2 linked regions of the Arabidopsis thaliana genome follow. The protein of the gene in region 2 interacts with the protein of the main gene of each other region in a pairwise test. Each region holds a gene or a part of one and is shown on either strand. Other genes may lie near its edges. The genes, in order: AT4G11380 and AT5G46630.

Evidence for each region.
Region 1: the proteins of AT5G46630 (region 2) and AT4G11380 interact in a protein complementation assay, tested with the Arabidopsis thaliana proteins (one study listed by BioGRID).

Annotation. Positions count from the first base shown.
Region 1 is NC_003075.7:6,914,352-6,931,167, forward strand, and holds AT4G11380 (Adaptin family protein), read left to right. Parts: upstream 1-6,137; 5' UTR 6,138-6,256; coding exon 6,257-6,343; intron 6,344-6,540; coding exon 6,541-6,583; intron 6,584-6,653; coding exon 6,654-6,676; intron 6,677-6,810; coding exon 6,811-7,008; intron 7,009-7,125; coding exon 7,126-7,239; intron 7,240-7,364; coding exon 7,365-7,615; intron 7,616-7,929; coding exon 7,930-8,065; intron 8,066-8,214; coding exon 8,215-8,394; intron 8,395-8,490; coding exon 8,491-8,583; intron 8,584-8,669; coding exon 8,670-8,881; intron 8,882-8,968; coding exon 8,969-9,032; intron 9,033-9,129; coding exon 9,130-9,309; intron 9,310-9,405; coding exon 9,406-9,498; intron 9,499-9,651; coding exon 9,652-10,034; intron 10,035-10,152; coding exon 10,153-10,342; intron 10,343-10,423; coding exon 10,424-10,627; intron 10,628-10,793; coding exon 10,794-11,093; 3' UTR 11,094-11,225; downstream 11,226-16,816. Other genes in the region: AT4G11373 (Serine/Threonine kinase catalytic domain protein), read left to right, coding at 16-117, 227-259, 5,308-5,412; AT4G11385 (uncharacterized protein), read right to left, coding at 12,736-12,926, 12,976-13,084, 13,196-13,327; AT4G11390 (Cysteine/Histidine-rich C1 domain family protein), read left to right, coding at 13,541-14,848, 15,292-15,354, 15,482-15,547, 15,637-15,732, 15,920-16,027.
Region 2 is NC_003076.8:18,914,766-18,929,310, reverse strand, and holds AT5G46630 (Clathrin adaptor complexes medium subunit family protein), read right to left. Parts: upstream 8,874-14,545; 5' UTR 8,732-8,873; coding exon 8,649-8,731; intron 8,482-8,648; coding exon 8,304-8,481; intron 8,189-8,303; coding exon 8,098-8,188; intron 7,974-8,097; coding exon 7,879-7,973; intron 7,726-7,878; coding exon 7,636-7,725; intron 7,552-7,635; coding exon 7,503-7,551; intron 7,411-7,502; coding exon 7,272-7,410; intron 7,197-7,271; coding exon 7,080-7,196; intron 7,009-7,079; coding exon 6,918-7,008; intron 6,827-6,917; coding exon 6,684-6,826; intron 6,589-6,683; coding exon 6,474-6,588; intron 6,386-6,473; coding exon 6,251-6,385; 3' UTR 6,140-6,250; coding exon of another isoform or gene 6,059-6,139; 3' UTR 5,866-6,058; downstream 1-5,865. Other genes in the region: AT5G46640 (AT hook motif DNA-binding family protein), read right to left, coding at 3,019-3,312, 3,410-3,571, 3,655-3,786, 3,953-4,008, 4,125-4,641; AT5G46620 (uncharacterized protein), read left to right, coding at 10,183-10,458, 11,288-11,461; AT5G46610 (aluminum activated malate transporter family protein), read left to right, coding at 13,575-13,860, 14,155-14,295, 14,516-14,545. UniProt on the Arabidopsis thaliana protein: Subunit of the adaptor protein complex 2 (AP-2). Adaptor protein complexes function in protein transport via transport vesicles in different membrane traffic pathways.

The sequences.
Region 1 (16,816 bases), on a different chromosome or scaffold from region 2:
AGAGTAAATTTGTTGGTGGTTCTAACTCCAACTCATCTTGCAATTGAAATGGAGTATGCTTCTAGAGGAGAGCTCTTTGAAAGAATCTGTAATGCTAGTAGATTCAGTGAAGCTGAGGTTTGATAAATGCTTTCTAACTTAGTTCTTATTGGATTTTTTGACAAATTTTTGATTATATATTTTTCCATCTTGCTATTTTTCTCAAGCTAGATATTTCTTTCAGCAGCTGATTTGTGGCGTGGACTACTGTCATTCACTGGTATTTTTATTTACATAACTTAAGCAAATCTCCATGAGTGTGAAAGGAGAGTGACAAAATCAAGAGACAAGAGATAAAGATAAGGTTTTGTCTTGATAGTAGCTCAAGTGTTTCTCAGACACTTATACAAAGAGAAAACATTTCAGACCTAAGGGGACAAAAAGGAAAAAGACCAAAAGGGGTTACAAACAGTACATAAAGCAACATTAAGCTTAAGAGCAATTAATTGATGTGCTCTAAATAAGATAAGTAGCAATATCTTCAACACCCTTCCTCAAGTTGGAGCATGCATATCGAAAATGCCCAACTTGCCAAGAAAGAAACGAAGCTCCCTTGCGCCCAATGCCTTGGTAAAGATGTCTGCTAGTTGTTGTTGAGAAGGCACGTGAGAAGTGGCAATGAGACCGGAGAGGATAGCATCGCGAATATAGTGACAGTCCACCTCAATATGCTTCGTGCATTCATGTTGAACCGGATTAGCACTTAGAGCAATAGCAAATCGGCTGTCGGAGAAGATTGTCATTGGTTGAGGATGGGAGATACCAAGATCATGTAGCAAACGTTTGAGCCAAGTCAGTTCTTGAGTAAGAAAAGCCATCGCACGATACTCCGCCTCAGCTGAAGACCAATTCACAGTAGGCTGCTTCTTTGTTTTCCATGAGATAGGACTATCACCAAGCTGCACGAAATAACCAGTAAGAGAGCGACGGGTAAGAGGACAAGCTGCCCAATCACTATCGCACCAACCATGGAGCTTTAAAGAGGATGTGCTAGAGAGCAGAATCCCTTGACCATGAGTGGATTTTAAGAAACGAACCACCCTGATGGCAGCGTCCCAGTGATCCTGGCGTGGATGTTGCATAAACTGAGCCAGAGTGTGAACCGAATATGATAGCTCAGGACGGGTAACAGCCAAGTATATAAGTCTCCCGACTAAGCGACGATACCTTTTAGGATTGGGAAGTAAAACAGACTTGGATAAGGACAGTTTGTGGTTCTGTTCCATCGGAAAAGAAGAAGGTCTGGCGCCTAACAGACCCATTTCTGATATAATATCGAGGACATATTTCCTCTGAGACAAGTAGAAACCATCAGCATTCCTTGCCACTTCAATTCCCAGAAAATATTTCAGCAGACCCAAATCCTTCATATGAAAGCAAGATTCCAAATAAACTTTGAAACGTTCAACAGCGATGGAGCAACTGCCTGGGATGATCAAGTCATCAACATAGATGAGAACGTGAACACACGTCCCATTGTTGTTGTAGCTGAAAAGAGAGTAGTCCGATAGAGACTGTGTGAAACCATATTGAATCAAAGCCGTGGAGAGTTTCGAGAACCAACATCGCGGAGCCTGCTTCAGACCATAGAGAGATTTATGTAGACGACATACCTTAGTCGGATCATCAGAATGAAAGCCCTGAGGCAACTTCATGTATACCTCCTCCGTCAAATCTCCGTGTAAGAAAGCATTATGTACATCCATTTGATGTACATGCCAGTCACGGGCCGCAGCTACTCCAAGAAACACTCGGACCGTACTCATCTTAGCAACATGAGCGAAAGTCTCATCATAGTCAACACCCTCTTGCTGACGATTTCCCAAAACCACCAAACGCGCTTTGTATCTCTCTATTGTCCCATCAGAACGATACTTAATCTTGTAGATCCATTTGTTGCCAATTGCCCGCTTCCCAGGGGGTAAATCCACGATGGAGAATGTTTCATTGGCTTGGAGAGAGGTGATTTCATCAGACATTGCATCACACCAAACTTTTTCAATCACAACTCTATTATACGTTGTCGGTTCCACACCAGCAGTTACAGCCGCAAGAAAAGCTTTATGAGCCGATGAGAAACGGCTACTGTCAATATAGTGCTCGATTGGATAAAGAGACGATGAATCCGCAACTACATCAGGTTCCACGGTAACAGTATTTGTAACAAAGTGTTTTAGAGTTACCGGTTGCTGTTTTCGGCGATGACCACGGCCAAGCGGTTCAGCCTCTGGGGGATTTGGCTCAGAGTTCACCGGTGTTAGCGTTGGTTCCATTGGAAGTGAAACTGTGGATTCTATTGGCTGTTGCGACTCTTCTGGTGTTGTGTCGAGAGAGACACCAACTAGGGTTGAAAGAGAATCATCTGCGTGGGCCTGAGTGGGAGATAAAGTTGCTGGGCCTTCTGAAGAAACAATAGTCGGCCCATTTGGTACAAGAGAAGGAATTAAACTTGTTGTGTTTAATTCCTGGCCCATACGGCCCAAATCGTGATCATCTTCTCCACGAGGGACTTCTGCAAAAGGAAACTCTGTTTCCTTAAAGATGACATCTCGAGAAATCATGAACATTTGATCATCGAGATCAAACAAACGCCATCCCTTTTGTCCATGAGGATACCCAACGAAAACACATCTTTTCGTTCGAGAGGCAAATTTGTCGCCTTTATGATTTTGATTGTGGGCATAACACAAAGATCCAAAAACACGAAGATGAGCATAATTCGGCGCCTTCTTATGCAGCAGCTCATAAGGAGATTTTCCTTGAAGAAGCATCGATGGAGTTCGATTTATCAGGTATGCAGCAGACAAAACACAGTCCCCCCCAAAATTCAATTGGCAAATGCGATTGAAACCGCAATGATCTAGCAATATTCAAGATGTGTCGGTGCTTTCGTTCCATCCGTCCATTCTGATGCGGAGTCCCAACACAAGAAGTTTCATGATGAATCCCGCGTTATTCAAAGTAATCCCGCATACACATAAATTCTGTTCCATTATCACTTCTCACAGTTTTGACACGGACATTGAATTGACATTCAACAAGAGCAAGAAAACTTTTCAAATGTTTCTGCGTCTCACTCTTTTCAACCATCAAATACAGCCACACTCCCCTCGAGAAATATTCCACTATGGTTAGGAAATAACGAGCACCAGAGTGAGAAGGAGTCCTATACGGTCCCCAGACATCACAATGTATAAGACCAAAAGCTTCCATGCTTCTATTATCACTTAGAGAAAAAGTTTCACGAGTTTGTTTAGCTCTCATACATATGTCGCAGACACTGTCCAAAAAATCTCTACTACTAGACAAAAAATCAGTAGGAATCAAGCTAATTGCTTTTTATGATGCGTGTCCCAAACGTTTGTGCCATAGATCATATGAACCTTTGACACTTGTGCTCACAACTGCTGCCAACTCCATACTTTTAAACAAAAAACTTCCATTCTCTCTTTTACCAACTCCAGTCACCGTCCTCGTAATGCGGTCCTGTATCACAAGAAAGTGATCAGCAAGCTGCACAACACAGTAATTCTCATCAATCATCTGTCCAACAGAGATCAAATCTGAAGTCAATTCCTTGACATAGAAAACGGATTTCAGAACCAAACTGGAACCAAGGCGCACTGTTCCTTCACTCACAGCAACTCGCTTATTCCCATCAGCCAATATAATCAAAACCGGAGAGATCTTGCGCATATCAGTCAACAGATGTAACTTTCCAGTCATATGGTGAGCTGCACCTATATCTAGGATCCAAGAAGAGAAATTAGAACACGTACCCGTTAGAGTCTCATGTCCTTGTTCGTTGGGTTTGATGTTGGCTTCATCACTTTTTCCAGCGTTCAAGAGCTTGAGTACACCACGCCACTGCTCATCTGTAAGACCATTCACCGCATCTCGATCTCTATCAGTGATAACTCGATTAGCCCGTTCCACAGTGGTTAAGCCAGTTGTGACAGCATTCACATAAGAGGTTGGAGTGCGATTTTGTCCTCCATTAAAGCCTAGACCGGGTTTGCCTCTGCCTCGACCAGATTGTCCTCGCGGTCTATCGCCCCACCACTCTGGGTATCCAATGATCACAAAGCAGTTCTCCGGCGAGTGACCGCCACGATTGCAGTGCTTACAAACGTTCTTGTTGGGGAACTTTGCAGAACTAGGATCAATCTGTGGACGAGACTGAGTAGCAAAAGCAGTGACATCTAGCTTTTCTTCCTTAGAGTATCTATTGCTCAACATGTCCTCTTCTTGTCTCACAATGTTGTAGACTTCTTCGAGTCCAGGAAGAGGAACACGTGATGTTAAGCTAGACCGAATTGTATGAAATTGAGTTTCATCAAGTCCATACAGAAATTGTTGAACCATGTCATCTTCTCTACCTTTCTCCTGCTCAGCTTCAAGATTACACACACATCTTCCACATTTGCAGGTTCGAAGAGGACGATAGTTGTTGATATTATCCCAAATCTTGTTGAGTTTTCCATAATATCCTTCAACAGTCATACCCTCTTGTTTACAAGTAGCAAGATCTGCCTTCATCTTCTGATTCTTTGGACCACTAGAAACAGAGAAGCGTTTACGAGTGTGTTCCCAAAGATCTCTAGCCACGTCACGGTGGGAGATATTCGTCAAGAGCGCCGGGTCAATCGTCATCTTCATCCAAGACACTAGCAAAGCATTAATCGTTAACCAGTCCTCGAGGTCCAGAGATTCTGACGGCGGTTGTGGAATGGAGCCGTCAAGAAAACCAAACTTCTTCCGTGAGCGCAGTGCTGTTTTGAAGCCACATGCCCATTCATCATAATTAGTCGACTTCAAGATCGGGTGGGAGATCACAGCTCCAGAGTTATCAGCGACCGTTAAGTCATACGGCGAGATCGTTCGCCGGACTTCAGTTACAAGAGGAATTACCGGAGGAGCAGCCATTACTCCAAAAGAAACTCAAACTTTATCGATTTCAAATGAAAAACCCCAGCTTTAGCTCTGATACCATGACAAAATCAAGAGACAAGAGATAAAGATAAGGTTTTGTCTTGATAGCAGCTTAAGTGTTTCTCAGACACTTATACAAAGAGAAAGCGTTTCAGACCTAAAGGGACAAGAAGGGAAAAGACCAAAAGGGGTTACAAACAGTACATAAAGCAACATTAAGCTTAAGAGCAACTAATTGATGTGCTCTAAATAAGATAAGTAGCAATATCTTCAACAGAGAGATCTTTGCTTCGTTTTGTTAATCTTTTTGTTGGGTTTGATTTGGTCTTTGGTTAGTTGCAGAGTGGGAATAAGCTCCGCGTGTTTTGGTGTCAACTTGTTGTCCTAGTTTTTAGTTTTGTTTCAGTTAGTTCCTGCAATTTCTCTTTCACGTATTTGTAAGAAGACTGAGTCTTCATCTTTAGGCTATTTAAAGCCAAACAACTATGATAATAAAACATCGAAGCATTCAGTTTTAGTCTCTTTGTTCTCTCAGATCAACACTTTTGTATGTTTATGTAGCAAATATGTCATAGAGATTTGAAGATTGAGAAAACACTGCTTGATGGTAGTCTTGCACCGCTTTTGAAAATCTGTGATTACTTGGCTTTGATCTCATAGGTCATTCATTCATTAGTCTCTTTTTCTTCTTTTGTTTCAGTTTTGGTTCCCATTATTACTTGGCTTTGATCTCATAAGTTTTTTTTTTAAGGAAACCCATTTAAGGATTCTACCTTTGGAGAAGAGAATTTATAAAAACTTGACAAAAACTCTAACCTTCAAAATTATTAATATTTGTTATTAAGAAATTTAAAGGATTCCTTATAAAAAACCCACCAATGGATTTGCTTTAAGATCCATTAAGATACTTATTGGAACCTGGAACCAAATCAAAACTCTTTTTTTTTTTTTTGGTTCGGTTCGGTTCAGTTCCAGTTTTATGGCAAAACCTAAGTTTAGGGGTAAATTGGAAAATATTCAAAAGTTTTAGCCAAATATCAAAGTTTTTACTAATTATCAAAAGACACACTCGAGAAATTCATAAATGGGCTAACTTTTATCAGAGAGCCCACTAAACAATCGGCCCGTTAGCCAAGAAAATCGTCACCGGCGTCTTCCATTCCAACATTTCTCCGTCATCGTCTCTCTCTCTCTTTTTTTTTTGTGTGTGCAAAACGTCTCTCTCTCTGTCTCATAAAATCTCAGAGAAGAAACATCGTCGGGTCAGGTCGAAGAAAGGAGAGAAATGAGTGGTCACGATTCGAAATACTTCTCCACGACGAAGAAGGGAGAGATCCCTGAGCTCAAGGAAGAGCTTAATTCCCAGTATAAGGTTTTTTTTTTCTTCTTAATCTTACTCTTGTCTCATTCCATGTGGATCTGTGATCCGCCATTATTACATTCACGATCTCTCGGTCGATGATCCTTCTCTCCTTGTAATTTAGTTATCCTTATACAAATTTTGGTAGATCTGTGTAGTTCTGGATTTTGAATTTTGAATTGAAATTGGTTTCGTGATTTTGTGGGAAGTGCGATGATTCCGTTCATTTTTCAGTAACTGATTGGGATATAGGTTAGAATTGGAGAGGAATTGGTAGGTTTTTGAGAATGGCTAATGTGGAGATGTGTGTGCAATCTCGTAGTAACTTTAGTGAAGCTTAGGTTGGTGAATCAGAACTTGTTCGATCTGGATCAGTGGATTTGGATGAAGAGTTTATGTTAATGATTTAAGAAGGAATGGTTCTTTTCTGCTTTGGCTACAGTTTTGTTAACCCTTGTTGTTTATTTACTGTTGCATAGGATAAGAGAAAAGATGCAGTTAAGAAGGTTATTGCGGCGATGACTGTTGGAAAGGATGTTTCATCACTTTTCACTGATGTAGTCAATTGTATGCAAACGGAAAATTTGGAGTTGAAGAAGCTTGTTTACTTGTATCTCATAAATTATGCGAAAAGCCAGCCAGATCTTGCTATTCTTGCAGTAAATACCTTTGTAAAGGTAACACTCAAGCAACTCAAACAAAACCACGTGGCATTCCTTTGTTCTGTTCTGAACCTGAAGGGGAAAGGAACTGATAAACTGATCATTACAAAATCATTGGTTTGTATTCTGCAGGATTCACAGGATCCAAATCCGCTGATTCGTGCTTTGGCTGTGCGGACAATGGGCTGCATTCGTGTTGATAAAATCACAGAATATCTATGTGATCCTCTTCAAAAGTGCCTAAAGGTTTGAGTTTCTAATGTTACATCTTCATTGGAATCTGATATCAAACATCTTTATTGCCCTTAAGAACCTGTTTCATCTTGACTAGTCCATCTTTTCACTATCCTGTGTATATTTTTTGTGTTTAGGATGATGACCCATATGTCAGGAAGACTGCGGCTATTTGCGTCGCTAAGCTTTTCGACATAAATGCTGAATTAGTTGAGGACAGAGGTTTCCTTGAAGCCTTGAAGGATTTGATATCAGATAACAATCCAATGGTTGTTGCCAATGCTGTAGCAGCCCTTGCGGAGATTCAAGAGAACAGTAGTAGCCCCATCTTTGAGATCAATAGTACCACTCTTACAAAGCTCCTTACTGCTCTAAATGAATGCACTGAGTAAGTCCTCTCCATTTCCGTAGTTTCACTGCATTCTGTTCGATTTTGAGTATTTATGGCCCCATTGTCCAGTCAGGGTTTAGGGGATGTTGATGGTTGTGAAATAGCTTGTTTGATGTGGTATGGCCTCTGTTTGGATATCATTCCGTTGTCTTTGTAACTATTTTCAAACAGCAGTTTAGAATTTTTCGTCATTGATGGTTTTATCTGTAGATAATGACCCAGTATATAAACTTTGGGGAAGAGAAGCATAAAATGAGTAATGGATAAGCTTTTGGTAGCTTCATTTTTAGTACTGACCATGATCATCGCAGGTGGGGTCAAGTTTTTATACTAGATGCTTTATCGAAGTATAAAGCAGCTGATCCCCGTGAGGCTGAAAATATTGTTGAGAGAGTAACACCAAGGTTGCAACATGCCAACTGCGCTGTTGTTCTTTCAGCTGTTAAGGTGAGCGACTTTCATTGATTGTTATCCTCTCTACTTCTAGTTGGTAGCTCGTCAAACTTGATTGTAAAACATCAGGCATCATCAAATGCCTTTGCATATTTTCCTATTGCGTTCTCACTTCTGTTTCATATTTGGTAATTGCCTGACAGATGATCCTTCAACAAATGGAACTTATTACTAGTACAGACGTGATTAGAAATCTTTGTAAGAAGATGGCTCCACCCCTTGTTACATTGCTTTCTGCCGAACCTGAGATACAATATGTTGCACTTCGTAACATTAATCTTATTGTGCAAAAACGACCCACTATCCTTGCCCATGAAATTAAGGTAGCATGACCTGTGTCTCATAGTTCCTCAGAATAAACAACTGATGTATCCGTGCATTTATTGATTATGTTGAAAGTGATATTCTTTTTGTTTTAGGTTTTCTTCTGCAAGTATAACGACCCAATTTATGTTAAGATGGAGAAGTTGGAGATTATGATTAAACTTGCCTCTGACAGAAACATAGACCAGGTATCCTCACTGAGCTCTACCATCTGCTGTGTGTCTTGATTATTATTGGTGCATATCTTTATGATTTTTGAAAATTGCTACTCTAGGTTCTTCTGGAATTCAAAGAGTATGCCACAGAAGTAGACGTTGATTTTGTTAGAAAGGCTGTTCGTGCGATAGGCCGATGTGCTATCAAACTAGAGAGAGCAGCTGAACGGTGCATCAGTGTTTTGCTCGAGTTGATCAAGATTAAAGTGAATTATGTTGTCCAGGAGGCCATTATTGTCATCAAAGATATCTTCAGAAGATATCCAAACACGTAAGTTGACATTTCTCAATCACTGTTGAAATGGCATCTTAAAACTCTTCTTTGATTTTGGTTATGCTATTCAAATATTTCATACAGGTATGAGTCCATAATTGCAACACTCTGTGAGAGTTTAGACACTTTGGATGAACCAGAAGCTAAGGTATTGAACTTTTTTGATTTTGGTTTGGAAAATTGAAATTTACCATCTTCATTTAATCTTAAATCACTGAATTCGGTATCTTTTGGTAACTTGAAAGGCATCTATGATATGGATCATTGGTGAATATGCTGAAAGAATTGACAATGCCGATGAGCTTCTTGAAAGCTTTCTGGAGAATTTTCCTGAGGAACCAGCACAGGTCCAGTTGCAGCTCCTAACTGCTACTGTTAAGCTATTCCTGAAGAAGCCAACTGAAGGCCCTCAACAAATGATTCAGGTTCGGCTTTTTCCTTGCTCACCACTGTTTTTATGATCGATTCATGAGCATGTATGTAATGACAGGCATGTTTTCCGTTATGCTTGATGTTTTCAGGTTGTCTTGAATAATGCTACTGTGGAGACGGATAATCCTGATCTCAGAGATCGTGCATACATATACTGGCGTCTTCTATCCACTGATCCTGAGGTGTGTGTTACCTTGATTTCTTATAGCTTTCTAGTAATCAACCAGTAGAGAATGAATATATTCAGGATTGGTTATTCAAGCAACAAGCAATTTTTATCAGTTGAGCTTTCTCTTGAGATGTATTTGGCTGAACTCATCATTTCTCTTGATTAGGCTGCCAAGGATGTTGTCTTAGCTGAAAAGCCCGTGATTTCTGACGACTCAAACCAGCTAGACCCATCACTTCTTGATGAGCTTCTTACAAATATTTCGACCTTGTCCTCTGTGTACCACAAACCCCCAGAGGCTTTTGTTACCCGCTTGAAAACGACAGTTCAGAAAACAGAAGACGAGGACTTTGCGGAAGGAAGCGAAGCAGGATACTCATCTAGTAATCCGGTTGATAGTGCAGCTTCTCCTCCAGGTAATATCCCACAGCCTTCCGGAAGACAACCAGCACCAGCGGTCCCAGCTCCTGTACCTGATCTGCTAGGTGACCTGATGGGATTGGATAATGCCGCTATTGTCCCGGTTGATGATCCCATAACTCAATCTGGGTGAGTTATGTCTTGATTAATGAAACTTTCTATTGTTGGGACTAGTTTATTACGTTAGGTCAATTTCGGTTGCCTAGTTCATACTGAAACTCATCAAATCTTATGAACTTGATCGTAGTCCTCCTCTGCCCGTTGTCGTCCCAGCTTCAAGTGGTCAAGGTCTGCAGATAAGCGCTCAATTATCCCGAAAAGATGGACAAGTATTTTACAGTATGCTCTTCGAGAACAACTCGCAGTCGGTTCTTGATGGTTTCATGATTCAGTTCAACAAAAACACATTCGGCCTTGCAGCTGCTGGATCTCTTCAGGTAACTCTATCTGAATCTAATTAACGTCTGAAACTCAGGTCTGAATCATTGAAACCAATATCCATGTCTGTACTGTTTCAGATTCCGCCTTTGCATCCCGCAACATCCGCCAGGACAATGCTACCTATGGTCTTGTTCCAAAACATGTCTGCTGGGCCTCCAAGCTCGCTCTTACAAGTCGCTGTCAAAAACAACCAGCAGCCCGTGTGGTACTTCACCGATAAGATTATACTTCATGCTCTTTTCGGTGAAGACGGTAGAATGGAACGTGGAACCTTCCTTGAGGTAACATACTTCAAAACTTGAGCTGTTCATATCGGTTCTGGTTTAGGAAAATAGTGACGACTGTGAAACCAAATCGGTTAGAGATAAATTTATACGGTTTGGGTTTTCATTTGGATATATCTTTATGTTTTCAAAGATTTTAAGTTTTTGTTTGCTTTTTAATCAGACATGGAGGTCGTTACCGGACTCAAATGAAGTCCTGAAAGAATTCCCCGGGATCACCATCACGAGCGTCGAATCAACTATCGAATTGCTCACAGCATTCAACATGTTCTTTATAGCAAAGCGCAAGAACGGGAACCAAGACGTGATCTACTTATCAGCCAAAGATCCACGAGATGTACCGTTTTTGATCGAGCTCACTGCAATGGTGGGCCAACCAGGTCTCAAATGCGCAGTGAAAACTCCCACTCCCGAGATTGCGCCTCTCTTCTTCGAAGCTTTGGAGCTTCTCTTCAAGGCTTGATGATTAACGTTGTTATCAAAAGGCTAATAAGACCAAGACCTGAAAGGTTTCAGAGATTCTTTCTTGTTTCGTTATATCCCACCTTTTTTCTTCTTCTGAGTTTAGTGTATGTAATAAATCCCATGTTTGTGTTACTTCCGGTTGCACCCTTTTAGTTTGGTATTTGTAATGCTCACTATTTTCTTATAATTCTTGTATCGGAACCACATTTTTTTTCTTTCGATATTTAATCCGGGAAATGCTGGTTTCTGAACTAATAAGGAAGATCAAACACCATCAAAGGACCAGATCACCATGGAAAATCAGTGATCTAGCTACATTGGAGCCGTTGATGATGCTAGTGATGGACAATGCCAAAACTTTCAAACATTTCTTTTAGGTGATAGGTACACTTGGGGCTAGAGACCAAAGACGGTTATTCTTGTATTTTAAAATCAGAATTGCTATCAGAAGCATGTGTTTTGTCATGCAGTGTGCAATTTGGAGTTTCTTTCAGGATATGCTAGCCACACTAAGTTTGCATCAGAGTGAAACATAGTAGTATCCTTTTAGAAAGTAAGGCATCGGCTCTTAAGTTAAACACAATTTGGATAGACATATGTGGACATGCAAAAGTTATCGTGGGAGGAGTGTTGGGAAACATATCTCCACCTATATCGTTTGGTCCAGGTACTATAGTTTTGAAGAAGATTATAAGAACAAAGATAAAAGAATAACTCTCTTTTCTTAACTCCATTCACTAATTGTACTAGAATGACAAGCAAAGCAAGTATAAAAAGAGGTTTCCACTATTAAAAAAAAAGAGATATTTTTTTTCACCTTCACTTGTAAAAGTGAACAGAGATTTGAGCATCATTGTATTGAGAAAGGAGTTGCATCAATCATAGACAAAATCAAAACAGAGGTAAGACAGCTAATGCAAAAGCTGATACTTGCTTAAGCTGTTAGACCAACTGTGACACTGGAATTAATCTACTGTGAACGTGGAAGTGGACACTGATGAACATCAACTAGAGTGATTCGACATGAAGGAACGAATGCAAAATTCAAAACTTAACCAACACATACACGTAATTAATTAGCTAATGTAAAAACTAGTACATCGTTAACATGTTACAACAATTGTACACCAGCTACTGGTCTCCGTGCAATGAGGACACTTGATGGTATTAGACTCCATTTGATGGCTGTATTGGGCTAAAATACAATACAAGGTCATCGAAGTGCTTTTTTTTTTTTGGAATGAATAAGTCATTGAAGTGATAGCTTGAGCCTTGATGATTTTTTTTTTTTCCATTTTTTTCGTCAACTAAGGATTCTTTATCTTCATAACTAACCGTGACCTCAAAGCCACTAACATACTCGTTGATGCTAATAATTAAGACAACAAAACTGAGACTTTGATTAGTGGGGCATATATAAATTGTAAATGGTACTTTCTTACATGTATAACCATTTATTTATTAGGGGTCCTGTCTTTTTGTTCTTATCAACGGCTAGTGACTTTTAAAATTGTTTTTTTCATGATAGTTTTAGTTATTTTGTGTGCTTAATTTAGTTATAGAACTATTATAAAAACTAATATATATAATTGTTATTGACCAAGTTATGTAAGAGCATCTTTAAGCGTAAACATTGACTTTTAATTAGAGAGAGATATAGACTTGAAAGGAGCATACCGTTGAGATCTCAGATTCTTCTTCTTCTTCTTCTTCTTCTTCTTCTTCTTCTTCTTCTTCTTCTTCTTCTTCTTCTTCTTCTCAATCTTGTAGTAGGCGACCATGGAATCAGAGGGAGTGTCACTACCGTTGATCCACAAGCATGTCATGATGCCTTCTCATGATCAGCGGAAAGGTGATTGTTGTGGACGCTCAGAATTTACCAGTGGTGGATATTACTGCGAAATCTGTGACTTCTTTGTTCATAGGAAATGTGTTGACGAGTCCTCTGAATATATTAAACACACATCTCACTCTGTTCACACTCTTAAGCTTCAATGTAAACCACACCATATATGTAATTTATGTGGCAAGAGCATCAAGGATCTATTCTATCGTTGTGAGATATGTGACTTCGATGTGGATCTATACTGTGCAAAGTACCCACCACCAGAGGTTATTGATATTTCCGAGACGCATCACCACAAGCTCACCCTTTTCAAGAAGCGGACCTTGGTCGATTGTGGTGCCAGCAAATGTGGGGAGGTTATGTATGGGTTTCCTTACAAATGCCATGAATGTAATTTAGCCTTCCATGTGGATTGCGTATGGAATTCGCCAGACACAAAAAACCTGTTAGAGGTAAACCACTCTCACCACCCTTTACACCCTCTTAAGCTCCACATAGGTCAACCACCAGACTATTCTGATGGTAAATGTCGTCTTTGCGCACAAAAGATTAAAGAGAAATTGTTTTATCATTGTTCCGCTTGTAACTTCAGCTTGGATATGGATTGTCTTTTAAACCCACCACCACAGTCTATTTTGGATTTGAAAGCTCATGCTCACCAACTCATCTTTCGCCCAAGACTTGATTCTTTTACATGTAATGCTTGTGGGTTAAATGGAGATCGAAGCCCTTACATATGTGTTCAATGTGATTTCATGATACATCAAGAGTGTTTTTCCCTTCCACGCCTCATAAACATCAATCGGCATGATCATCGTGTTGCTCGCACATCTGTTCTTGGTGTTGTGAATTCTGTATGTGGAGTTTGTCACCAAAAGGTGGATTGGACCTGGGGCGGGTATTCTTGCCAGAGGTGTCCTCAATATGTCATTCATTCGAAATGTGCTACTAGAAATGATGTGTGGAACGGGAAAGAACTCGAAGGAGTCCCTGAAGAGATAGAAGATATAAAGCCATACGTGGTAATATATGGCAACATAATACAACATTTCAGCCACAAAGAGCACTACCTTAGATTCCATGTTAATGGCTTTTTCCGGGATGGAAACAAGCGGTGCAGTGCTTGCACCTACCCCATTGGTCTCCAATCCTTCTATGAATGTATTGATTGTGATTTTATGCTTCACCAAAACTGTGCTGAATTTCCTCGAAAGAAATGGCATATGCTACACAATGATCGACTTACATTAGTTACAAGCGTAGCCGAATTCTTTTGGTGTATAGCTTGTAGAAGAATGTCCAATGGTTTCAAGTACCAGTGTGGGTATGGGGTGTTAGATGTTCTGTGCTGTTCAGTTTCGGAGCCGTTTGTCCATCCAAGCCACCCTGATCATCCTTTGTATTACATTCGACAAGTGAAATATAGACAATGCTATGGTTGCAACGGTCGAACGTATAATGTGCTGACGTGCATTGAAAGTTGTTGTGGATTTGTCTTATGCTTCTGTTGTGCCACATTACCACAAGTGGTAATGCATAGAGTAGACGATCATCCTCTCTCACTATGCTATGGCGAAAAGGCAAGTGGCAAATACTGGTGTGACATTTGTGAGAAAGAATTGAATCCAAGTACATGGTTCTACACATCTAAAGATCACCGAGCTAGTTTGCATACAAAGTGCGTGTTAGGAGACTTTGCAGGGCTCATGCCAAGAAGCACAATAAAGTATGGCAGCAGATCATATGAGGTGGTGCTCAATAATAGTGTATCTCGTCCATTTTGCAGGGTGTGTGAGTCGCATTGCATGTACCCTATCAGCTTGAAGATGCTTGGAACCTCTGATCCATATATTTGCTCTTTAAACTGCCAAAAGCGTCTCAACTCTCTGGACAACTTGACGAAAAAGGTGATGATAGATCGTTAAACTTTCATTTTAGAATACAATTATTCTTCAATAAAAGGTTTATTTCACTATGAGTTGCTCTCCTTAATGTATCACTAGAAATTTTAATGGCATGATTTCAACCTTCATATGATAAGTTATCTAGAACGTACATTTGGAATAAGATTTTGTAAAGTCTTCAAAGATTTTGAACATGTCCACCCACTGAATTTTAAGGTTACAGACTTGTTATGTTACATATTGTTTTTTGGTAGAACTTGTTATGTTAGTATGTTACACATATGTAGAGACATATTATCTTCCCTTTTTTCTTAATTTCATTTCCTTAATTTCACTTGCATATATGTCATATCAGATCTCTTATGAATGTTGTTACCATAGTAAGCAAATATTAGTGAGTATAAACGACTAAAGAGTGAGTCTTTTTTTTTTTTACTGGGATTCAGCTGGAGGCTCTATATGTTTTGAAAACAACAAAGAAGGAGTCTGATGATGACGATCGAACGCAGGTATTTTCATTTCACTGGCATATGTGTCATTCAGAGCTCTTATGAATGTTGTTGCTCTGTTTCATAGTAAGCAAATATTAGTGAGTATAAACGACTAAAGAGTGAGTTTTTTTCTTCTGGGATTCAGCTGCAGGCTCTATTACTTGCCGAGGAAACAGCAAAGAAGGAGCCTGATTATGCGGATCGAATGCAGGTATTCTAATTTCTGAACATTGAAATTAGTTTGTTGGATTGCAATTAGGGAATGTCTATGACTATGTCGTGTGTATGTTCTGGATGCAGTTGCATTTTGTGCCTTTAGTAAGCTGCTCGATATGCAAACGTTTGGAAGTTGTCGTGAACGATATCAGCCAAACTGGGCATGGAGATCGCTATAAGGTTTTTCTTCTTTTCCTTAATAAGCAAGATAAATACAATTAACTAAACGGACATAAGAAAGAGATGGTACTAGTGTGTATATATAAGCCATGGACATCTTATAGATTGTAACATCATGATCTTCTTCTCTTAGGGGGGAAATAAATAAATCCTAATAATCACATTTTGATTTTGTTTCTGCATCTAGCTGGTGTGTATGTACTGTAAATATTGCTGCTATGCCTCAACGAATAAGGTACTAACTCTGAAAAGACACATATATGGAGGATTTGAAGACCAACGACTCGAACCCTGACAACAATCCTGAAGCCTCCAAGAAACAAGAGTAAAGGGGTTCCAACTTTTAACTTTATGTTTAGAGTTACGAGTCTGAATTCGTCGAACTTGGTTTCACATTTAAAAGTTGATTAACCTTATGACAACAAAAATAAGACTTTGGTCATGGGCATATATCAATTGTCTCTCTCTCTTATAGAACTTATTTTGATGCACCATCTTTATCAATCATTGTCTTTTTGTCTTTGCAACATTCATATCTCTAAGTTTGTCGACCATACATTACCTAAGATTCCATGTTAATGGTCTTATCTCAGAGGAAAACAATTAAACAAGCGTTGCAGTGCTTGCACCCACTCCATTCATCTCCAATCATTCTATGGATGTATCGATTGTGATTTTATTCTTCACCAAAACTGCGCTGAATCTCCTAGAAAGAAATGGCATTTTCTACATAATGAACGTCTTACTTTAGTTACAAGCAAGGATGATTACTTTCACTGCACTGCATGTGATAGACTCTTTTCCAATGGTTTCAAATACCAGTAAGGGGATATGAAGTTAGATGTAATGTGCGGTTCAATTTTTGAACCGTTTGTCGATCCAAGCCATCCCTATCATGAATCAATGATGCTATCGGTGGACAAGGCCGGAAACTCGAGAAAATTATGAATAATATACTGAAATAAAACATGAAAATTGCTTTACTTACACTATTTTTTTGTTCTTAAAACCTAATATTAGCTTCTTATTTTTTTCCAATTTATATTTTGTTGGTTGTCCGTGTCTCAAAACAAGTGCATTTTGG
Region 2 (14,545 bases):
ACTTTGAAGTATATTCGTGAAAGACTTCACTCCATGATTGCGGGTTGGCAGAATAACTTCTTGTCTCCAGGAGGGAAAGAAGTACTTCTCAAGGCTGTAGCCATGGCCCTACCCACATACACTATGACGTGCTTTAAGCTGCCAACCACAATCTGCCAGCAGTTATCCTCGGTAATGGCTGAATTTTGGTGGAAAAATAAACGCGACTCAAAAGGCATGCCTTGGAAAGCGCGGGAACATCTGAGCAAGCCAAAGTCAGAAGGAGGAATACGCTTCAAAGACATTGAAGCTTTCAACATTGCTTTGCTCGGGAAACAACTTTGGAGAATGGTATCTAGAAAAGACTCTCTAATGGCTAGAGTTTACAAGAGCAGGTACTTTAGTAAAACAGATCCACTAAATGCTCCCCTAGGTTCTAGACCATCTTTTGCTTGGAAAAGTATCCATGCAGCACAAGAGCTCTTAAGGCAAGGAACCCGAGCTATAATTGACAACGGTGCGTCCACTGAGATTTGGCGACACCAATGGATAGAGTCAAAACCAGCAAAGGTTGTGAATGTAGTGAAAAGAGTTCTACCATCCCATGCTAGGTCCGTTTCTTCTCTCCAATATGTTAGAGATCTATTGGATGAAAGTGGGAGGGAGTGGAGAAGGGACTTACTCTCTGCATTATTCCCTGAGGATATTACAAAACAAATCATTCAACTACGGCCAGGGGGTAGGCATACATTGGATAGAGTTGCTTGGGACTACTCTAGGGATGGACATTACTCTGTGAAATCGGGTTATTGGGTCCTAATGGAGGTGGTGAATCGTAGAACGCAGACTCAACATGTCCTTCAACCCAGCCTCAACCCGCTTTATGAGCAGATTTGGAAAGCTAAAGTCTCACCTAAGGTACATCACTTTTTATGGAGATGTTTGAGTAACATTATCTCTGTAGCGGGCAATCTATATCATCGACACCTTGTCAGGGATGGTTCGTGTCCTCGCTGCCCATCACAGCTCGAGTCTGTCAACCACCTTCTTTTCAAATGTTCTTTCGGCAGACTTGTATGGGCTATATCCAAAATTCCAGCTCCACCAGAGCGTGAGTGGTCAGATTCCTTCTACCAAAACTTGCACAAATTATTGAACATAACTCAGTGTCATCCATGGTTGGGTGATGATGGACTGGTAGCTCCATGGATCCTGTGGAGATTGTGGAAGAATCGCAATGACCTTGTTTTCAAAGGGAAACAATTTGATGCACCTGATGTAATTCGGCGGGCAATAGAGGATGAAGAGGAGTGGAGGCTGAGTATGCAGCGGAGTTTCATACCGAAGCACATAGAGAAAACTGAGCCACCTGCGGTCAAATGGAAGCAACCCCCACATGGTTGGGTTAAGTGCAACTCAGATGGAACTTGGACTGCAGACCGAAGCACCAGTAGCATTGGCTGGGTGCTTAGAAACTCCGAAAAGAATGTGCTTTGGATAGGTGTTCGGGCTATTCCAAGAGTCCAATCCGCTTTGGTTGCGGAGGCTGAAGCCTTGCGTTGGGCGGTGCTGTCACTTTCTCGCTTCAGTTACCGAAAGGTAATTTTTGAATCTGATTCCCAACAGTTGGTATCCCTCCTTGTTGATAATGGGGACAGACCTGCACTAGATCTGATTATACAAGATATCAAGCACCTGCTTCAGCATTTTGAGGAAACAAAATTCGTGTTCACGAATCGTGGAGGCAATGGAGTGGCAGATAGGATAGCAAAGGAATCTCTTTCTCTCGAGAATTATGATTCTCAGTTGTATTCTATAATGCCAAATTAGGTTAAATCCTTTGTGGAGTATGATAAGATGTAAAACTTGATTGGTTAATGATAGTTGATGTTGAGCAAAAAAAAAAAAAAAATAATAAGATACATTGGACTGTAATATCGTTTTATTTTGTATAAAGGTTAAAGGAAGAAGTTGTTTGTCAGTTTATTTAAGAAATTGTTGAACACATAAGTTCCTTTTTTTAAGTTTAGTTTTTTTTTTTCAAAATTAATAGTATAAATAATGAATTAATCAGAACTCAATAATTACTTGTTGATCAAAATGTTTGGAATTTCAACAACATCTCGGATAACTGATGACATGCATAGTCCCCATATGTGATGCGTTTCTCTAATTTTCTAAAAACATTTTGGTTTAATAGGAGTTAGACTTCACTTATTTTTGCTTTCTAAAACTCTTTATCTTGCAAATAAATTAATCAATCAATCTAACCAAATCACCTGACATCACCAATAAATATGAACGTATTAACTACAATAACTCGACAAACTGATATATCTTGTAAAAATGAAAGTTGGTTGCAGTCGTTACTCTCAGCTCTATGGTCTAAACATTGGCTGTGGTAACACATAGGCCAGAGTACGAGTAGGATCGACTGCACTTGATGATGATGATGATGAGCTTGTTGTTGATATGCATGATTCCCACATCTGAGGTACTCTGAAGTACCTTTCTCTTTTAATCGCATGGCTCGTTATATCAACACGAGGCAGCTTTATCAACAGTAGATCTCGGGAGGAGCTTATTAGCTTGCTAAACCTTCACACGTGTCATCATCTCTTTAAATCACATCCAACAGCTGAGCTCTTTCTAACTTTCTAAGGGATATAAAAACATTTTAAAATAATTTGGATTAAAGAACTACGGTATATTGAATTTTTTTAAAAATAATTACAAAATTTGTGAAAACAAATAATATTTTAATGTGGAATATATATATTGTTCTAGTAAGGAATCTCAGACTTTTATCTCTAATTCAAATCAACTCACAGAGAATTAACCCCCAAAAAAAAAAAAAAAAAATTAAAATGACCCTAATATCTAGATCTCTCTATATGTTATCTAATAAACCCCCAACAAAAAAAAAAAAAGCTACAAAAAACCATGAAGCTTGAATCTTCTTAAGATTTGCCTAAACAACAACAAGAAATCAAACCATAACCGTAACCAAAACGGAAACAAATTAATTTCCGCTTCATTTTATTGACCATGATTAGACCAAAGATGTTGGTACATTTGCATCTGATGAGGATGAAGAGGTTGTTGTTGTTGTTGTTGTTGAGCTCCATATATCCCATTATTATTGTCACGGTGCATTGCAGGAGAACCGCTCTCATTCTCTTCTGATGACTCGCTCGATGGTCCTTGAGAGACTGATCCAAAGTTCAACATGTTAGCCGGCGCTGAAGCCGGTTCAGGATTCTGCCCCCGAGCAATGTTAACACTACTTTGTTTCGGTTTCTTTGCTTCTGCAACAAAGCTTCCCACTATCACCTATATCACATTAGGACGCATATGAACATAAAAGAAACCGTCTTCTTAACCCGAACACAATATTAAGGATTCTGTAACATGAGTTCATATTCTGTACCTGGACTTGTGTTGCAGCTACTAGATTACCAACTACACTGCCACCTACGATGCCGCCATCAGGTCCAGCCAAAGCCACACTCAAGTTACCACTTCTGTTGGTGGAACCATTTACCTCATAATTCAAGACTGAGCCTGAGAGAGTAATGATCTCAAATCGTCCCTGAAAAAGCACACACATACAAATCTAAACACTTAAGACAGAAATACTAAAACTAAAGACATCAAAAGAACATAATTTTAAACCTCATAAGTAACGATTCCACTAGAATGAGAAGCTTGACGAAGCATCACTCTAGAAACTGCACCACTTGCAGAGAGAATACAAATTGTTCTTGACCCTTGATCCGAAAAAGCCATCACCTTTGACGCTATGTCCTGAATATAGTAAGTAAATTTAACATAACAACATCATTTAAAACTCATTCCTCCATCAAAATTCACTAAACCAATACATTTATTTCAAACATTTCTAACTTACCAATCCTGAAACATGAAACAAAACACATTTTCAGATAACTAAGACAGAACAACAACTTTTTACCTCTCCTGTGTTCACTTCAATGACATGAGGTGTAAACCCAACTCCTGAAGTTCCTCCTACTCACACACACACACACACACATAAACAAAACAGAACAAACCCATCAAATCAAATTGCATGTAATCTAAAACAAAACGTGTTAAGATTCAAACTTTAGAGTACTTGCTTATACCTAAAGCATCAAGCTGTTTCTTACTAGAACCAGGAGGCCTTCCTCTGTTACGTTTAACAGGTGGATCAACAGAGTTTCCATTTCCACCACTATCTCCAACACCACCCTCACCGTAAGAATTAGAAGCTGCAGAGAGAAGAGGAGACGTAGGAGCTAAACCTAAAGCAATGCTACCATCAGGAGTATACTTTCTCGGCCTTCCTCGCTTCTTCTTCACTTGCAGTTGCTGATTCTGATCATCGATCCCGAATCGCATCGGTTGAGAAGAAGGTGATCCATCACCAAATCCAAGAGATTCAAGAGTCTTCTGATCCATTTGTTGTTGTTGCTGCTGATGAAACGTTTGAGATTGTTGTTGATTGCCAAAAGGAAGACGAGGGTGTTGAATCGGTTGAGATGTGGAAGTGGGAACCATTAATGGTGAAGCGGCGGCGTTAGGGTTACGGTAATGAGACATTAACATTCCCGGTGGTGGTTGAAGCTGGTTATGTGACGGTGGGATGTCTCTGGAATCCATTAGAGCAGAGAGAGAGAAGGAAGGAAGAAGAAATCAAACTCAAAGATTGTTTCTTTCGGCTTAATTCTCGTAAAGGATGAAACTTTCTGTTTTGTGAATTCCGAGAAAATAGAGAAAGCGTGTGAGCTAACAACTCTCTCTCTCTCTCTCTCGCTTCTCGCTTCTCGCACACATACAGAGAGAGTCTCGAGGAGAGACTAGTGGGAGAGATGAAGTGTGGCGGAAAATGTAAATTTAATAGGAAGAAAAAAAATGAAATCATCTTTTTATTTATAGGATTTTTAGGAGATTTTATTTGAGTTTGTTTTGTTAATTTTATCTGAATTGATTTGGTATTTACTTACGTGAGGTTTAAGCATTCGAGAAAATATTTTTGAATCTTTAGTAGATTGTAGTTGGTTTGTTTTCATTATCATCCAAATTATAGCAGAAATATTTGTGGTCATCCGTTTTTATTAAGAGTTTATAAAAATAAAAATACTTCAGTTTGGAGATGAGAAAAAAGAGTATTTGCATTGGATATATTATAAAAAATAACACAATAACTTGTGAATGATTAATAACGAATTCTGAAGTTAAAAATCCTTAAACTTCAGAATTCGTTATTGATATTTGTGGAAGGTATCCATGTCGTCGGTTGTTGCATTCTCGTCAAACATTATAGGGAACTTTGAAAAGTAACGTGATGCAAAAACAAGACACCCAGCTTGTGGATTTCAGAATACCGACGAGGTGATCCCAATCGATGGAGAAGCAGTTCAATAGAATCATGTTTGTTGTCTTAGACCATATTTGAGTTGCATGTGAGTAGCAAAGTATCCATGATATCTGGTGTCTTGTGGGCAGAGAGCCACATGACACAGTCCAAAGAACCACCATGACCACATTTGCCATAAGCGAAGTTATAGAAATTCGATCATGCATAACCAACCACGAGTGAAAGACGTACTTGGGTGTAGCTTTGATAGTCTATTACTTTTACAATTTCCCGTTTGTTTCTGAAGAATTAGTAGACTTACAAAAGATTTTAACGATCTATGTTATGTGTAAAAACCTTCGAAGTTCGAACTATTCTCAAGTAAAATTTGTTTTCATTAACATATTACACCCGATTCTACTACTAAAAAGAATCCGACTGCTTTCACAAATACTCTATCACGTTCGATTACACCAGAATTAATCTAAACTATATCTCGTACAATTTCACAAACAGAGAAAGAAAGAAAAACAGAATTCAATACCAAATTAAGACATAAGAAATCATATTAACACAGATATCTCTAATCGACAAAACAAACATAAAACAAGGTATAAAACATATTTAACTCTTTTGTTTTTGTTTTGCATAAGGAACAAAAAACTAGAAGCCATGAAACTTTTAAGTCTGATGTCACTGAACCTGAACTGTGTTTAATGTTCAGCATCTGATCTCGTAAGATCCCGCTTTCGTTATGTATCGAACCCACTCGACCGTGTTGTAACCGCTCTTCTCCCAAACCTGCCAATCGTTCCGGATAGTCAGGTCCAAAAAAGTAGTATAGCAATCAATTTTTGAAAGACCAGAGACAGATTAACCAAAACGCAAATCACATAAAAGATTTGAACGGATTTAATGACACAATGGCTTAGAGATTCTGCTACTTAGCATTGCATTTTTTGGAAGGATGGTACTTTCAAAAGCATAGATAACAATGCGTACCTTGAGAAAACGAACTCGCAGACCAGATGCTGTGAACATTGGCACCTAGAAAAGAACAAAGCTGAGACGGTTAATAATTGCTTTAAGCAAATCTGGTTCTATTTAACAGTGCCTAAAAGAGACAAAGACTGACCTGAAATTCCATTTGGATCGGTGGCCTTGTCCAAGATTTCTTCTCTCCCATTGTTGAGATCAACTCAATTTCTGCACTTAGCGTGGACTCTGTTTGCCCTGGGAATTTTCTTATCCTAAAGAGTAAAAGAGAGAAAGATGCCGAATGATTGATAAAACACCAACAAAAGAATTATAGAGATGAATATGAGGGGAAATTATATAAACTCACTTCCAAACCAAGCAATCGATTGATGGATTGTATTTAGCGCGACCAGTTGTCACTTGGAAATTGGTCTTGGCTGTTTGTTTTGGCACTGGAATTTTAACCACGACCCCAAGGGCAAACATTTTAGCACCAAACACACTTTTGACCTGAACAGACAAAACACGGGAAGGGATTGTAAGAGAGCAAAGATCAAGCCAATTTTTTTGTATCCTGTAATCCTTGAGAAAAGTTATGTACCTTGACATTTACTTCCATACGTGTACGACCAAGTTCTTTGATTGTTGGTAATACACGGAAAGGCAGATTTACACCCTCTGTTATTCGATACCTGAGACATCATAAAGTTAATACACATTTGGTACCAGAACAATTTGCAACAGTGGACATTCGAAAACTTACTTCATCAGTTCAAACTCTCCATCCGGTGGTACAAAACTAACAGTCTTCTCGGAGTTGAATCTGGTCAGGTTCACACACTGGTGAAATGTGACATCATCAAGCTCAATGGTTTTACCACTGCACAAAACGAGAGTCAGTTAGCACAAAGAAAAGTCAGTGGCTACTGATGTTCAATGTATTAACAACGTATACCTCTTAGCTGGGCGAGATTTCATTTCTGATTCCTTCTCAAGACCAATTTTATCATTCAACCCCAACTTCAAATCAGGCATTCCCGAAAGGAAACATTTCATTAAAACCTTCCCCGTCACATCACACCGAAGAACATTGCCTAACCGTTTCCATAAAATGCAAAACCAGTCATACACAGCAAATCAACAAGAAAGACAACTTCAAAAAACTTCATAAAAGGCAATTATTTACCTTTAGAGGACATCAGAAGGTTTACACTTTCCACAATATCCAGAAACACCTGCGTTTGAGAGAATGCAAAATATCATCACTACCGCACAACCTAGCCGATCTACATACACACAGAAAGAAACTCAACACTCACCTCATTCTTTTTGTAAGCAAGGCCCTCTCTTCTCCAACCAACAGCACCTGTAACTTGTAATGTTGCATTTGGAACAGGTTTGTCTTTTGGCTGTAATGAAAAGAAGCTTATGAATGCAAACATATCTAGTGAAGAAGCAACATAATCTCTATTTATTGCGGGAAATACTGCTTAACTTCGAAGAACCACACACCAACACAATTACAAAATCTGTTGTATACACAAACAAATAGATGCCTTTACCTTCGATGAAAATGGTGACCGTACACCTTCCTGAGTGATATAAAGTTTTAAAATTTCAGGTGAGAGATTTTGTGGATAGCCAAAGTCCATAATCTCTGCAATTCAATACAAAATATCATTCATTGGTGTTACCACAAAATAGAATAACATATAACGACTAATGCAACTTTACAAGTGATAAGAAAGTGATTTGATCATGACCCTATCAGGCTTACTTACCATCCAACAATTCATAAATCAGAACAAAGTTATTTCTAATAGCGTCTTCATCAAAAGCTCCACCAAAGTATGATTTGAACAAAGCTACAGCCTGAAAATGTGAATCAAAAGCAGTATGTGTATAGAATCAATCTGACTCTCTTGAAATTTGAACAAGAATCAAAACAATTGTGGAATATTAAAATGAAACACAAAAACAAGTTTACCTCAACAACAAATTTGAATCCACAAGCAACATTAGCATTGCTACTGACAACAATGACGATGTAGACATTGCTGATTCGCATATAAACAAAGGAGCAGCCACCAATCTGACGCACAGGACAATTCCCTAACTCTTTCGTCTGCATTATATGCGTACGAAATGCATCCACCATGTTTCCCCTAAGTATCAAAATCAAATCAAAATTTTAAAATCTCAAATCTCACAGCTAAAATCCTACAAAGTACGACTACTTAGAAGCGATAAGAACAAAACATGGAGCTGAAAATGAAGCCGAATTCAAAAAATTAAAGAGATCGACGGTGAAGAAAAGGAGAAGCTCTCTTACCCGACGTCATCTCGGTAGGTGCGATTTATGAGTACATCGCCACGGAGATTCAGAAAATAGATGGCGGAAGCAGCCACCGGCATCTTCGATCTGAGATTCGAAACGCAGATCGGATAATTAGACGATCTGGTTACAGGAGATTTGAGATTTGAGGTTCGACGAGATCTCGACGACGGAGCAAAGGAAGAAGACGACGACGAAGAAGTTGAACAACTGAAATGCGATATTTTTTTAATTTCTTTTTTATCAAAAAATAGAAACAAAATTGAATTCAGTCGTCATTTTGGAATGGGCCGGTCTTATTCGATTCTGGGCCTGTGCGTCTCAATTATGGGCCTGTAGTACATTATATCCTTCATCATTTTTAATTGTTGTTTACATATGAAGAATGGTTAGGTAACAAACAATGTATAGAAGTTCTTAATTTTCAATTATTAACACTAGGTGATCACCTGCGCTACGCCGCGGTATTTTCGGATTTTTTTCGTATTGTTTAATTTAAATATAATTTTTATTTATCTAATTATTCACTTATACAATAAACAATTCCTTTTAATTTTAAAAATATTTTTTCTAACAACATTCTCAACAATGCATCATACACATAATTCATAAATAACGTTTGTATTAAACCAACTTAAGAGAGGGTAGTTTTGGATTCTAGAAACCTAAGAATTTGATGATGGAGCTCCTTACGTATTCTTCAACCTCAATGATTTATTGTATAAATATAAATTTAAGAGAATATAATATCAATTTAAGAAAATAACTTACTCAAATCATTAAATAATCCACGACTATTATATACTCATACTTTGAGTTTGGATTACAAAAAAAAATCTTCGAGTATGAGAAAACTATTAAATGGTTTTATTGAAAAATCATGTAATATTAAAATAAATTTAGTAATACTATAATTAAATATGTAAAATTAAATAATAAATATATCATTAACTTATAAATTAGAAGTTGAAGAGCTTACATTAATTACTTAATAGACACATGGCAAATGCTAAAATGATGATGTGTCAATCATTTGGAGAGAGTTAGCCAACTTTCATATATATGATTAACACGAAACTTTTCGAATTTTTTTTGTTCAATTCTCTCTGATGTCAGTGATGTGTAAAAGTAAAACTGTAAATGATCGCAATTTTTTTTTTTGTTCACTCACGAGAGAAAAAAAAAATGTGGAATATTTATTTAGTATATTAATAGAAACCGCGCCGTTAATGATAAAAAGAAGATCTTGCTCGATCCGTCTTTGATCCAAAAAAAAATTCATCTTTCTATAATTTGTTGCAGTGCATAAGAAGATTAACACAGTGTTCACGAGAGAGAGAGATTAAAGACAGAGATTTCTGGGTTTTAACAGTAGGAAATGAATATTGTTGGATTAAGAAGCGATCGGAGAAAGTAGCAAAAATCGGGAGAGGAAAGGGATATTCGAAAACCCTAATTTTGGAAGATCATTCATTTGAGAGAAAAGCTGTTAAATTTGAGGGCTTTAGATCGAATTTGATATCTGGGGTTAATGGGTTTTTTGAAGAAGTTAACGGGTATACTTGGTTTTGGTCATAACGATGGTGGTGGTGGTCATGGAGCTGTGAGAGATGAAGATGGTGATGGTGGAGATAACAACACTGGAACTGTTTCTGGTGATGGAGATAAACGTCGGGAAGAGAATCAGACGAGATTTCGTGAAACTGGACCAAGGAAAGGTTTTGGTGTACCGGTTCAAGTTGCTGTTGAACGGTCGAATCCTGGTCCTATTCTTCAGCCTTGTGCTGCTTTAGACGGTGGTGTTCAGGTCAGTTTTCCTTTTTGACTGATGATATTGGTTAGTGAAACTCTAGGGATTGATCAAATTCATGAGAATATGTGAATTACTTGTTGCTAGCTAGATAAAGAGTTATGGTTAAGTCTTACGAAGATCTGTAATGTGGTATCACATAGTGCAGTTTCATGCTAGTTCTGTAGCTGGATTGTGTATTCATACCTTTGGTTTGGATCACACTAAGTTGGATAATAAATTGGTTTGTGAGTTTGCGAAGATTCAGTCGTCTCTGTGGCCTACATTCATTTCATGTTCTGTGCGGGTGCCTTGCTTTTTTTTCACTTTAATATGGCCTCAAGATTGGCTTCGATATGCTTGTGTTTCATAAAAAGTACTTTATATGCTTCAGTAGATGACTTTACATTCGTCATTTCTTTATGGTTTTTCCAAATTCTCTGAATGATCTTATAGATTTTGATGTCTTTGTAATTGTAGTTCATTGTCTTTTCTTACTCTCTGTTCATTCATCTTTGCTCGTAAAGTTAATGTATAGTCCTTAAGATACTGCCATGTCAGGGATATGTGGTTTAGCTTGTTGTAAGATTAGTTGCGGCAGAAGAAAGTTCCTCGAAACAAGTATTAATCATAAGCCACCCATGCTAAAATAAAGACCTTAAAGAATCTTAATTAGTTATATTGGTAGAGAAAGACGATAATAAGCAAGAAGATTTATATTGCCAAGATTATTCAGTTATCTTTCTGCGATTATGTGTATCTGGTTCATTGAGTTCTTCTTGATGGCATTGACTCAAATTAGAGTCTGAGCCGAGAATTTTACTAGCGAACCTCTTATTTGGATCAGGGACTACGTTGGTACTCGATGCGGCTTAAGATTGATGAAGACGGAGATGTTGCAGATGAGTTCTTAGAAGACCAAAACTGCAAGACTTTACCAAGAAAGTGCAAAACAAAAGCTGCAAAAGTGAGAGGTTTAGTGATATCTTCTGATGGGAAACTTCAGCCATTAATGCATTGAACAATGAAAACCAAGGAGAAAGATTTGCTGAATAGTGTGTGATTGAATCAGAGAAAGGTTAGAACTTGTGTTTCATTAATTTCGATATCAATCCATTAGATTCTTGAGAACTTATAATGTTATTTAACTGTGAATTTAGTTTCTGAAAATAGACAGTGATTCTCTTTGGGATTATCTAAACACATTTGTGCAATTGTGTATTTCTACTACTACTACCAAGTTCTCTGTTTTGCACACATATGAATCCTTTTCTTATACAAGACCTCCAATTTTCGCTCGATATGATGTTTTTAGATTCTTGTTATAAATTGAATAGCAAGGAATGATTATTAATATATGATTCATATTGCATCTGAATCTAAGCAGTTTAAAGAAGTAAATAATATTTGAAAATCGTAACTGGTTATGAAACTTATAAAGATTTTGGCTATATTGTTTGCATAAAGGTAACAGAGTATATATTTGTATGCAATGAAAAAAAATGAAATAGAAAATAACATTTTCTCAAAAAGAAAGTTTAAAGTATTGATTTTCTGATAAGCTTACCTAGTTGAAAAGTATGTTAGAGAAAGTTCAAATACTATGAATCTAATTTATTTTTCTTTCTTACAAACAATGAATCTAATTGGTGATGATTTATTTTGGATTTTTAATATATAAACATACATCAACTAAAATAATAACTAAAATAATAACTACAAGACTTGTAGAAAAATACTAATATCTACAAGAATATAATTTGCCGAACGGCGTGAAAAAAAAAATTCGTATATTCTTGTAATATTTTTGTTAGTCAATCGCTAATTAACAACAGTATCTATGTGATTGAAATTAAAATGTTAATAAAATAGTTTAAAGCCAAGGACTTAGGAAAAATAAAATATCTACGATGAAACTATAACATTAGTGGGCTTAGTTTTATATTAGGTCTGTCATAATCGCCGTCATTACTCATTAAATATACATTTATTATTGGATGATTACCTTATATTATACTAGTAATTGTATGATTATTACGTCGATGAGTCATAGGTAGATCAATTAAATTAAATATTTTGATATTATTTTCTTTCTTTTTCGGTCTTCTGCTGTCACCAGGTTGTGGACAAATAGTAATATTTCAACCTAACACGACAAATTATAAGTCTTAGTCGTGTTGATAACAAATTCTCACCCACGTAATCAAATTTATTTTCACTTGTGTATAATAAAGCTTTTCAAATGTGTTAGGTTAAAAAAGGACAACGAAATTTGAAACACATCCAACTCATTTTCATTTGTCTGATACTTGAAACCACTTATAAATTTTGGTTTTATATGACTCTAGCATCATCACAATTATCTTGCCTACATTTAGATGTAGATTTGTTAATTTACTCTGTCAGAGAAAAAAAAACATAATGCAGCAAAATAAGATATCTGATCAAGATCTGCGCACAACAATGTATTTTGATTTATTTTGATGAATGAATTGAGTGACACATGCATGAATATGAATGGTGAATCTAAAACTTATTCGTTTTTTAATTTAACAAGTTCAATATGGAACGTCATTAATAGTATTTTTTAATGAACGGCCACAAATTAGTTTTAATATATCTTGACTTTTTGTTTTCCCCAATTTATGTAGCAAAAAAGAGAAAATAAAAATTTCTTTAACCACCATCATATTATTGCAAGTCATGTGAAAACCAGTCTCTCGTCACTTGTACATTATCAAGAAAATAGCTATTAAAATCCATTTGTTCTCTTTATGTTATGAATTATTGAGTTCACAAAAAAAAATAAAAAAAATAAATACAAAATGTAACTTTGTAAATATATTTATTTTTACTATCTAAATTACTATTGCTATGTTTTCAGAAAAAATATTGTGATAACTAAATAAATTATACACACATACACTGATACACATAGACAATATATAGACAGACACACAATTAAAACACACGTATTGAATTATAATTTGCTTCGTCGGGCTAACTAGTCTCGTGTCTATGCGTTGCACATAGTATACGTATATGCATACAATTATATATAGATAGTACACTAACACCTAAACTCTCTTTCATATTCAATAATTCTAATTTTGAACCCAAAAAGACAAAAAACAATGTCGGACAGGGTCCATGAAAGGAGCATGGGAATGGAGGAAGAAGGCTCTACTAAAAACATGAAGACAAAGGTTCTTGAACTTCCAACAAAGATCAAGAAGATTCTAAAGAATATATGGAAAGTTGGAAAAGATGATCCAAGGAGAGTGAAACATGCTTTGAAAGTAGGAGTTTCGTTAACACTTGTGTCTTTATTGTATCTCATGGAGCCTCTCTTCAAAGGCATTGGAAACAGTGCTATTTGGGCAGTCATGACCGTTGTTGTCGTCCTAGAGTTCTCTGCCGGTAATTATAACATTTAATTCAACTTGTAGATTTTTTATATTTTTTTTTAATTTGGATTCAATCAAGAATCCATGTGTTGTATAATATTCTCATGATCCATTTGCGAGAAATTCCTAGTTCATAGACTAGTTTATATCGGGTTTAGTCTGTCGTTTTGATGGTGTAAATAAAAAAAACGAAGGCATGAAAAGATTATTTGCTCATAACAATAGCTAAAATGATTAGAGCGTTAATATTTTGTGTATAAGCTTAAGTTATTTAAATGATGTAAATGAATGGTGTTTAATAATTCAGGTGCAACGTTGTGCAAAGGGCTTAATAGAGGATTAGGGACACTAATTGCTGGATCTTTGGCATTTTTCATAGAATTTGTGGCTAATGATTCCGGCAAGATTTTCCGAGCTATTTTCATTGGCGCCGCAGTTTTTATCATTGGTATGAATACTTTCTTAATTATTACACAATCAATCCACGTTGTAACAAACGAATAGTTTACGAAACTTAACTCTTAATTATCACATAATCAAAATAAATTAGTAATGTGACATTACTATAAGACCCTAACAAATTAATAGTTTCCAAAACTTGGGATATCTATAATTTCATTTGTTTTGGACAATTTTTGTATTAACTACTTGTTTTGTTAATGTAACAGGAGCGTTGATAACATATCTGAGATTTATTC